3 linked regions of the Arabidopsis thaliana genome follow. The protein of the gene in region 2 interacts with the protein of the main gene of each other region in a pairwise test. Each region holds a gene or a part of one and is shown on either strand. Other genes may lie near its edges.

Region 1 (3,756 bases), on a different chromosome or scaffold from region 2:
AAGTCCTCTCGACTTCCACCCAACTGCAAAAGCAGAATTATCAGGCGTCCATGCAATGTTATTTACAGGCCCAGTGTAATCCGCTGAATAACTGCAAGTTTTAAAACAGTTTTATTAACGATGCAGCCAAAATATCAAGGGCATGAAATAAATCACAGTAAGACAACTTGAAAACTACCAAAGGCGTATAAACTTCCAGTTGTAGTATGACAAGTATGATATTATGGTCTTTACACAACACCACAATAAAAACTACTCAGATGAATAGTAATACTCAAACCTTTCAAAACAAATATTAAAAAATAAAGGTTCATCACAAAATTCCACCATCCCTTTTCATAGTAACAAGTTGCTTACCCCCAGTCATGCAAAGAAACTGTTCGCAAGAGAGAGATCGAGTGTGACAGATCATATAACTCCACCATCCCTTTTCTTGTACCCACAGCAAGAATTTGTTGCTCTGAAGCCACTGATGCACAAACAGCATCACCACCCAACTTCTTCTCAGCTCTAATACTCTCAGTGTACTTTAAACCTTTCTTATTCACAGAGCATACTACTAGCTGCCCATCCGAATTTAACACAAACAATAACTTGGAACGAGTGCAAAGTTCCAGCTGAACAATAGCCGGTTTTGTAGAGAATTTATCATCAGATGCAAGTGTTGGTGAAGCTACTCCAGAGACTAGCCCATTACCAAGAGTGTAGGACAAGAGTCTATCATCGTTGCTAGCAGAAGGGTGGGAGCCAATACTGAAAGCTCCACCAAACTACAAAGACAAACAAAACATGAGAAATCAGGAATCTTGCACAAAGAATTCAAAAACCCCAAGAACAAACAATGCAGATGAAGCAGATGTACATTACCTCTCCTTTCCAGGAAATACTATATAAAGATCCATCGGAGAGTCCCAAAAGCATAGTTTTGCTGTCCCTAACAAAATTGCTCCTGCAGAGAGAGAAAGAATTGGCCTTACATTTATAATCCCAGAGTTTTAACTGTGTAGACTCCTACGGCAAATGTTGAGCACGGCAGAGACACGTACAGAAAAAGCACTTACACAGACAAGTCCTTGCCAGCAAAAGGGACCTGCTCACTTAGCAAAAGAGATATGGTTGCAAAACACAACTCCGAGGGTTGTCTCTCTCCGGGTTTTACTCTTTTATCGGTAAACTTAATTTTATATATATGAAGGAAGAACGATGATGTCTGCGAATCAAAAAATAATTGGTGAGAAGACATACAAAAAACTGGTTTTTTCACAAGTTCCGAATTTTCATGCATCTTGATCAAACGATTCAAATAAGATACTACTGAAATTAGAGGCTTTAGAATGTCTGAAATCATCAACCAATCAAACCTAAAAACATGTTTTTTCTCATCCTTACACATAAAGAACAATCTGGAGAAGATCCAATAACAAGATTTTGTATAAACAATTCAATAAATTCTCAGCTGGATAAAGATTGATAGTGACTAAACAATTAGCAGAAATTAGCAAAGGAAAAGAGTGAGACTAAGAACTTACAAGAACAGCAATCAATTTGGAGTCTGGACTCCACACAGCTTGCAAATTCTCTCCTTCTTCTCGCAACGACTTGTCATCTCTCATATACTTTCCCAACCTCACTCGTTGCTAATTGCGGGAAAATCAAACAAAAAGCTATATAAGTTAACCAACTCTAGACTCCAATTACTACGAAATGCAGAGAGATGATGATAAAGCACCTGAGAAGAACCCCAAAGCTCCAGGTGAGACGGAGAAACGACCAGTAATAGCCGGCCGGCGAGCTTAAGGTACACGACTCGCTGCGATCCAGGTAGAAGCGGGATCACCTGCGGCCACCCGTAAGCCATATACATCTTTGGCTACCTCGAATTGAAATGGCTATCTCTCTCTACAATGGATCTGATTACAGATTCTGTTCATACACAGAGATCATAGGAACATTCGTTGGAAGAAGAAGAAGGAGAAGAAGAAGAAGATGGATCTCGCAGTCGCAGATCAATAAACGCTCAATAAACGGAGCATCAAAATTGGAATTGCCCGACCGGTTTATGTTGATCGGATTTTAATTTTGCGAATATAATTGGTTTCGGTGATACGAATCTAATTTTACGAATAAACCGGGAATCAATTATTGATTATCCTTGGTTCAAGGAGAACTCTCTCTCATTTCTCGGTTTACTCAAACCATTCTATAGACTATTAATTTAATTCTATAGAGTAATAATAATAGAATTACAAAACTAGTATACCTTCGTCTAAATTTTTAATAATTAATAATACAACTAAACTTTTGTTCTTTTTTAATCTGAATTTCCGATGTTTGATAAGTTTATATTAATTTATGATAATGATTATTAATTTATAATATTACTAGACTATATAATTACATTATATTTCCAACCAAATTATTATTTTATTAAATTATGTTAAATACTACATTGATCTCACTCGAGATTAAAAAAATAATTAATTTATAGTAATTACTAATTTATCGAGTGAGATCCTTTCTTCGTACAAAATATTTACGAATTTAATCGGTTACATATTGTGAAAGTAAACATTTTATTTAGTATTATTGAAGCTAATAACGATTTCATTAAGACACTCGTGCTATATGATACTAAAAAAAAATCAAATAGATACAAGACGTTACTTAGCTTGTTCAAAAAATAGTACTCACATGACAGAGATTCTGATGCCCCCATACTCTTTCACTTTTCTTAGTTTTATTTTTTTGGTCAAATATATAATTTCATTTGGCTAAAAGATTTAGAAATTGGAGATACAAATATTTGTCATCAAACAAGTAACATGTCTTGTCACTAACTAAACAAGAAATGATTAAAATGTATATTTATGAAAAAGCTAAACCACATATGTGGGTTGATACTTTCCATGGGTTGATTAGTTTTGACACCAAAACATAATTAAAAAAACGAGTCAGTTAAAAATAAAGTCGGATTACTTGGTTTGAAAAGAATTCTGAAACGCTAAACAAACTACACATATGTGAACTTAAAAAAATTTGGGTTGGGATTTTTTGTTTTTGACTTTAATCAACCGTTGTATTATTAATATTGATATGTGTGTTGTATAAAATGTCTTTGATAAAGAGGTATTTATATCCAATATCCACTTGTATCTCTACTATTTCTCTAGGTTAAAGAAAATAATATTTATTGTAAGTTTCATATTTAATAAAATAATATTTCTACGATTTCATAGAAACCCCAAAAAATAAACAATTAAATTTCATGTACTACTATGTAAGTTTTTTTTAGCTCTCTCTCTCTCCTCCGTGCACCATTTCCCGATCATCACCGCCGTGCACCATATTCCGATCATTACCATTGCTTTCTCTGTCTCTCTCCCTCTTCTCCGTGCTCTCTCTCTCTCTCTCGTGTTTTTATATAAAAGTACTTAAGAAAAAAACAAAAAAACAAAAGATGGTTCTTCGTTCTCACACACTATATATTCGGAAAACCATCTATATAAGCTCTCACTCTCTCTCTCTGGATGGAAGCTCTCGCTCTGATCTCACAATGTAAGCTCTCTCTTTCTCTCTCTCTCTGTTGTGTGTTTGTATTTCTCTCCGACGCTAGATTTCTCCATGGTTCTTATGAGCTGAGCACCGCCGAAGCTTTCCTCTGCATTCCGTCTTCTCTCTCTGTTTTTTTCTCCTTTCTCCGACAACATCTCCGACTCTAGACTTCTCCATGGGTTTCTTATGAGCACCGCCGAAGCT
Region 2 (3,756 bases):
CTCGTCATTCTCTCTATATGTGCAAACACATTCACCTACTGCATTCGGAAACGAAAACTACAAAATGGAAGAAACACAGATCCTGAAACAGGAGAGAATATGTCCATATTCAGCGTTGATGGCAAATTCAAATACCAAGATATCATCGAATCAACAAACGAATTCGATCCAACACACCTCATCGGAACCGGAGGATACAGCAAAGTCTACAGAGCAAACCTCCAAGATACAATCATAGCCGTTAAACGACTACATGACACAATAGACGAAGAGATATCAAAGCCAGTTGTGAAGCAAGAGTTCCTAAACGAGGTAAAAGCATTAACAGAGATCCGTCACCGCAACGTTGTGAAGCTCTTCGGCTTCTGCTCCCACCGCCGCCACACATTTCTGATCTACGAGTACATGGAAAAAGGAAGTTTAAACAAACTCTTAGCCAACGACGAAGAAGCTAAGCGACTCACTTGGACCAAAAGGATCAACGTCGTGAAAGGTGTGGCTCACGCTTTATCGTATATGCACCATGACCGAATAACACCGATCGTTCACCGTGATATTAGCAGCGGAAACATCCTTCTCGATAACGATTACACAGCTAAGATCTCCGATTTTGGTACAGCAAAACTTCTAAAGACGGATTCATCAAACTGGTCCGCCGTTGCTGGAACCTACGGCTACGTTGCACCAGGTAAATCTAAATCCCTAAATCTGATTTTGAGCTTATGAAATTTAAATCACTAAATTCGAAATTGAACTTGATTTTTCGCAACAGAGTTTGCTTACACGATGAAGGTGACGGAGAAATGCGATGTGTATAGCTTCGGGGTTTTGATACTCGAATTGATAATTGGGAAACATCCGGGAGATTTGGTATCGAGTTTGTCTTCGTCTCCAGGAGAAGCTCTGTCGCTAAGAAGCATTTCCGATGAACGTGTATTAGAACCACGGGGACAAAATAGAGAGAAGCTCTTGAAGATGGTGGAAATGGCTTTATTGTGTTTACAAGCAAATCCAGAATCTCGGCCAACGATGTTGTCAATCTCCACTACATTTTCTTAGAAACTGAACTTCTCCATCAATTTCTATGTTATCATTGTGTTTATCTATACAGCAACAGTAATCTCTGTTGGCTTTTGTTCTCTGTTCTTGCTTGTGTTTGCAGGAAGGGGTGTCGACTCTCGTTTCAGCTTTTGTTGTTGTTGTTTGGGCTTCTCGGCCTGCTTCAGCTTTTGTATGTATTGGGCTGCGCCCTTGTTGGTCTTTGGGCCTTGTTTGTTTTTATCTTTGCGGCTTGCGTGCCATGTTAGGCCTTTTGGTCTTGTAATGTGTTTGGTTAATGGAAATCTATGAAGTTAAAAAAATGAAAAAAAAAAAAAAAAAAAAAAAACTGTTAAAAGCATTTTTAGATAATGGTCATTGTGTTACTCCTCACATATGAACATTCAAATAAAGTTTTGGATACTGTCTATCTGTATATCGCCAGAATTAGTAAGAGATTTCTTATGCATAGTAGGAGATTAAAAAAAAAAATGCATAGTAGGAGATTTGTAAAGAAAGAAATAAGTTTTTTTTTGTATAATGAGTTCTAATGGACATCACGTTTGCAAGTGATAATAAAAAAATCTTACACTCTTGTACTCTGTAACGTGTTAAAATAATACAAAATGGATTATAATAACGAAATCTAAACACTTATAATCTTGCGGATGATTTTGTGACAACCAATGAAACCGTTAATGCGAGATTACGATAGTTTTTTATGAAATCATGATTTGTGCATAAAGTTAAGCAAATGCTAAATAATTCATAAAGTGTAAGAAACACGTGGCAGAAGAATTAATAATTCGTTTGGGATATTTTTGGTATATACGGACAGGCCACGTCGTGTCCTAAACCTCTTAGCCTTTCCCTTTATAAGTCAATCTTGTGTCGGCTTCGACTCCCAACATACACAAAACACTAAAAGTAGAAGAAAAATGGCGACTCTTAAGGTTTCTGATTCTGTTCCTGCTCCTTCTGATGATGCTGAGCAATTGAGAACCGCTTTTGAAGGTATAATAGTTTCATGATTCTTCTTGTTACGTTCTCTGTTTTTGTTACCTTCTTGTTTACATGATCAGTATCCACTTTTTGTAAAAGTGATGTGAATCTGTTGGTTTTCGTTTGGTGGGTTATTGTATGATCATTTGTTTTGATTGTTTTTCATGTGGATCGATCTTTGTTTTGGTCCGATGATATGAATGTTGTGTCGGTAGCGTTTTATGATCATTTGTACGATGATGTAGATCGAGATTGTTCCTTCATGGATCGGATCAGTGACAATGATCTCCTTTCTTTGTGTGATCTATAACAATCTTTTGTGTTAGTGATGAAGTTTTGATTGTCTGATCATGTTGATAATGACAATGATTACATTCACACGAGATCTTGATTGAGTTGTGTTTTGATTCTCACTGTCACAGATCTGTCTTCTTAGTCTAGATCTATAATGTAGTTACGTGTAATACAACACTAAGATCTTAAGATTTATATTTTGTGAATCTGTTTGACCGGTTCTGTTATTATGGATCTGAAGTGTGTGTGACTTGGATCTGAAGTATGTGACTTTGATGGTTATGTAAAGTGAATCTGATTCGTGTTTTTCGCAGGATGGGGTACGAACGAGGACTTGATCATATCAATCTTGGCTCACAGAAGTGCTGAACAGAGGAAAGTCATCAGGCAAGCATACCACGAAACCTACGGCGAAGACCTTCTCAAGACTCTTGACAAGGAGCTCTCTAACGATTTCGAGGTTCGGTTTTCGGACTTTTAAGTATCGACTTTTAAACATCTTGTGTGAAGTCATTGTATTCTAATTGGTTTTTTGGTCATGGACAGAGAGCTATCTTGTTGTGGACTCTTGAACCCGGTGAGCGTGATGCTTTATTGGCTAATGAAGCTACAAAAAGATGGACTTCAAGCAACCAAGTTCTTATGGAAGTTGCTTGCACAAGGACATCAACGCAGCTGCTTCACGCTAGGCAAGCTTACCATGCTCGCTACAAGAAGTCTCTTGAAGAGGACGTTGCTCACCACACTACCGGTGACTTCAGAAAGCTTTTGGTTTCTCTTGTTACCTCATACAGGTACGAAGGAGATGAAGTGAACATGACATTGGCTAAGCAAGAAGCTAAGCTGGTCCATGAGAAAATCAAGGACAAGCACTACAATGATGAGGATGTTATTAGAATCTTGTCCACAAGAAGCAAAGCTCAGATCAATGCTACTTTTAACCGTTACCAAGATGATCATGGCGAGGAAATTCTCAAGAGTCTTGAGGAAGGAGATGATGATGACAAGTTCCTTGCACTTTTGAGGTCAACCATTCAGTGCTTGACAAGACCAGAGCTTTACTTTGTCGATGTTCTTCGTTCAGCAATCAACAAAACTGGAACTGATGAAGGAGCACTCACTAGAATTGTGACCACAAGAGCTGAGATTGACTTGAAGGTCATTGGAGAGGAGTACCAGCGCAGGAACAGCATTCCTTTGGAGAAAGCTATTACCAAAGACACTCGTGGAGATTACGAGAAGATGCTCGTCGCACTTCTCGGTGAAGATGATGCTTAATCAATCAATCCTCCACAGAGAAACATAAGCTGCTCTACAGCTTCTGTTATCTCTTATCTCCCTCTCTCTCTCTTTGATGAGTTTCAAATCGTTTGATTTTGTTTCTACAAAAACCTTGTTTGTTTCTGTTGTGTGTTTTGAGTT
Region 3 (3,756 bases), about 12 Mb from region 2:
CCGTTTGGCGAGACTGTTGGAGCTGAGACTGTACCTCGTGTTTAATGTCACTGACCGTTTGGTTAAGTTGCTTAGCCGGGTTTCGAGGCTTCCCAAGATCTTTAGCTGTTGCAGCTCCTGCTTCCTTCAGAACCGACACAAGCTCTGGATTTCCAATCTTTTCGGCTATATCAAGTGCAGTATCTCCAGCCTTATTCATAGCATTAAGGTTAATTCCATCAAATGATACCAAACATCTCACTATCTGCAAGCAAAGGCAAAATGCAGTTCATCAGAATTCTTGTAGATTGAGAAACTGAGGGGAGGGGGAATTAGCGATGATGATACCTTAATACGGCCTTTGTTTGTGGCAGTGTGCAACGGCGTATTCCCTTTACTATCCTCAACACTCAAAATCGCAGGATCAGGTTTCACCAACTCAAGAACAATCCCTTCGTTCTGACCTTTGACAGCCATGTGAAGCGCTGTTTGTCCCTTCTTATCAGTTCTAAACCCGATGCTTGCATCATTACCTATCAAAGACTTAACCACTTCTCTGTGCCCCATTCGCGCTGCAGAATGAAGTGCGGTTTTACCATTGTTCTTAGCTATCTTAGCTAAATGAGAATCCGTCTTTAAAAGAAGATTCACCACATCAGTGTGTCCTTGTGAAGCAGCCGTGTGCAATGCAGTTGTACACGATAGATCCACCGTCATAGCCAGATTCGGAAATGTCTCCAACAATTTCTTCAATGCCTCTGCAAAAGACAGCACACATTCAAAGATATATGTCAAGAAGGTGTACAACAATAACAAGGTCTTCAAGTTATTATCAGATTCTCTAAAGTTTCATTTACCAATATGGCCTTGTTTTGCAGCGACATGGAAAGGATCAAAACCGTTGCGAGCTTTAACTGATGCAGTATCAAGATCCATATGTTTCAACATCTCTTCAACAACTAATGAATGCCCATTTTCTGCTGCACTATAAAGAGGGGTCTCTCCTTCTAGATTCTGCTTTGATGACAACTCCTTCAACTCTTCAATGCCGTTACAAGCTCGAATCAATTCCATAACCTTTCCCAAATTCCCCGTTCGAGCTGCGAGATGAAGAGGAGAATCTCCTCTTTTACCAGGTGAGTCAGTCTTCTTCTTCCTCTCACCACCAACATTCATGAAACTTAACTGTCTCTCCATTACTACCCTAAAGCTTTTCTGCTTCTCAACAAACCCACGAAAGCTTCTCTGCCTCTCCATTGCCCTCTCCTGTTTCTCCATTGCTCTTCCTTTGATTCCATGTTTCTCAACAACATTCACAGCTAGGAAACTAACTTGCTTGTCCAAAGCTCTTCCCTTTCTCACCTGATTCTCTGCACCAACGCATCTGAGACTCTGCTGTTCCTCCACAGAGTTACCTCGAACGCTCTCTTGCTTCTCCATAACAGGAACCAGAGAACTCATGGTATGCTTCTCCCTTAGATTACACAAAGATCTTGAATAACAACTTTTTCTCCCAAATCTGAAAGATGCCAACTTTGTTTGAAGAATCCGTGAGCTCTTTTCCAGCAACCCGTGTTTCGTAATAACAGAACCAGCTTGAAAATGGAAAACCCTGACTTCCCTGTGATTTCCAGATTTCTTGTAAAGATTCAAACCGATGTGATGAAAGAAGAGAGAGAAAAAAAAAAAAGGTTGCAGCTGATTTCAGTAGAGTGTAGCTGAAACCCAATAGATTGATTTGTAAATCTCAATGCTTTTTGTGGGCAAATCATGTAAGATTCTCAGGATATAGAGATAGAGAGAGAGACTGTGATGAGTGACTGCATCTTCAGCTGTTTTCTTTATTAATTTCGCTAAACTTCCAAAATCTTTAGTAATATTAGTGATTACTTTTTCTTTTGAGTTTTGAAGCAACAAATTCTTAATTACTATGTCAATTATCTCCAGTTTAAAACTTTATATCCAGTTAAAGCTTCTTTTCTCTAATTTCTTTATATTTTTGTTGTCCAAATCAAAGACCAAAAAGCAAAAGCACAATGTGATGGTGACAACAAGTCAAAGTCTTCCACTTTGTTGGTTACTGAAAATAATATTTTATTAATAAAAAAAAAAAAATTGTATGTTACAGAAATTGGTGATCATATACCTTGTTACAGAAAACTATTTGAAAAATCAGTTTCCTAATAACATTTCACAGTGATATCATCTTAACCCCAAATAAATTCATCGATTTAGACAACTAGTAGGTTGAATAACACCAAGATTTTTCCCAACAGCATTGAAGCACAAGGAAGTAGCAGGAGTTCCTTTGTTGTAAGTAAGCTTTATGTCTTGTAATGTGATTCCCGTGCATGGATTGCTCTTGCTACACACCAGCTTCATTGCTTCCTGCGTCGCCGAAGTTCCTTGTATGTTCTTGTACGTCACTTGGGTTATCTTCACCCCCGAATGCTAATACATACCATAAACATAATAAATCTTTAGTTATTTGACTAAGTTGATAATTTGATATAGCATATTTGATTAGTCTGAAATTGATCAAAAATATGATATGGATATACCTCAGTAGGGCAACCTTGGTTGGACGGACAATAGTTTTGGTCGATTATGATAGGGTTTTGGACGTTCCTCATGATTAGATTTTGAAAGAAGACGTTTCTAACGAATCCGGTACTCGGCCTCGCCCATGACTTTATCCTCACGCCGTTTTGTGATCCGGTGAATACCGAACTCGATACTGTCACGTTCTCTACTCCGTCTTCGTTTAACTGCTTTGCCAAACTCCCGATGCTGCCAGTCATCACATCATCATATGAGTTGTGACCAGAGTGAGTGAAGGCAATATTGCTAGTTTTTTTTTTGTTGGAAATTCATGATTCCTAACAATTAATGATATATTTACATAATTTACTCTAAGGAATTAGACGGTGGTGTATACCTAACCCCGTGACCTGGGCCACAAGCAAGCTTGGAAATTAGGAAGTTGCGGGTCCCCTGACCGATAGCAACACAATCGTCTCCGGTCTGAACGGTGCTTCCGGTTAATGTGACTCCAGTGGAGAACTGAACGGTGAAGCCGTCAGTGTTTGGGCTGTCTCCGGGAGCCACCAGCCTAATGTTACGGACGGCCACATTGGTGCAACCGTTGAGGGTCATATGGCTAACCTGGCTGTTCATCGATTTCACTCCACTTATGATCACGTCTTTTGCGGAGTTGAACGATATTGACTACAGTAATTAATATATAAACGCCATAGATTAATAATAAGATTATAAATATTTCATTTTATTTTGACCAAAGAATCCATTTCCTTGTCCAAAAATCATTATCATAATAGTTATTATATGCTTATAAAATAAATTCCTAAAAATGGCATGGATAGATCATATTGAAAATTAAATGTGCCTGAATTAATATAGTTGAAAACTATCAACTAATTCCTTTTTTTTTTTAATCGTAAGTAAATGATTGGAATAAAGATATGTTATTTGACTATTAAAAAAAATATATTGACTTATTTAGTTATTACTAATCAATAATGATTAAAGCTATTTGTTGCTCTTTTGCATTCTGGTGGCGCTTATGTATGAATGTCAGATTGTTGTTTTTATTTACAATAACTATAGATAGAGGAGAAGCATATGTACCCTAACACCGGGAGGACAATTCTGGCCAGATTTCCGGCAAGACCAGAACCCACTACCTCGAGCGTCAAAAGTCCCACCGACCAGTGAGAATCTGTTAACCTTGTTGAAGAGAATCCAGGAACCGGAATT

The links.
Region 1: the proteins of ANNAT1 (region 2) and AT3G61480 interact in a two-hybrid assay, tested with the Arabidopsis thaliana proteins (one large-scale study listed by BioGRID).
Region 3: the proteins of ANNAT1 (region 2) and AT1G05640 interact in a protein complementation assay, tested with the Arabidopsis thaliana proteins (one large-scale study listed by BioGRID).

The regions. Positions count from the first base shown.
Region 1 is NC_003074.8:22,748,086-22,751,841, reverse strand, and holds the start of AT3G61480 (Quinoprotein amine dehydrogenase, beta chain-like; RIC1-like guanyl-nucleotide exchange factor), read right to left. Parts: upstream 2,063-3,756; 5' UTR 1,865-2,062; coding exon 1,730-1,864; intron 1,638-1,729; coding exon 1,530-1,637; intron 1,211-1,529; coding exon 1,062-1,210; intron 950-1,061; coding exon 868-949; intron 771-867; coding exon 358-770; intron 92-357; coding exon 1-91.
Region 2 is NC_003070.9:13,223,328-13,227,083, forward strand, and holds the start of ANNAT1 (annexin 1), read left to right. Parts: upstream 1-1,840; 5' UTR 1,841-1,976; coding exon 1,977-2,052; intron 2,053-2,648; coding exon 2,649-2,794; intron 2,795-2,880; coding exon 2,881-3,612; 3' UTR 3,613-3,756. Other genes in the region: AT1G35710 (kinase family with leucine-rich repeat domain-containing protein), read left to right, coding at 1-688, 773-1,059.
Region 3 is NC_003070.9:1,688,062-1,691,817, forward strand, and holds the start of AT1G05640 (Ankyrin repeat family protein), read right to left. Parts: upstream 1,895-3,756; 5' UTR 1,441-1,894; coding exon 837-1,440; intron 738-836; coding exon 328-737; intron 245-327; coding exon 1-244. Other genes in the region: AT1G05650 (Pectin lyase-like superfamily protein), read right to left, coding at 2,203-2,430, 2,541-2,769, 2,918-3,207, 3,628-3,756.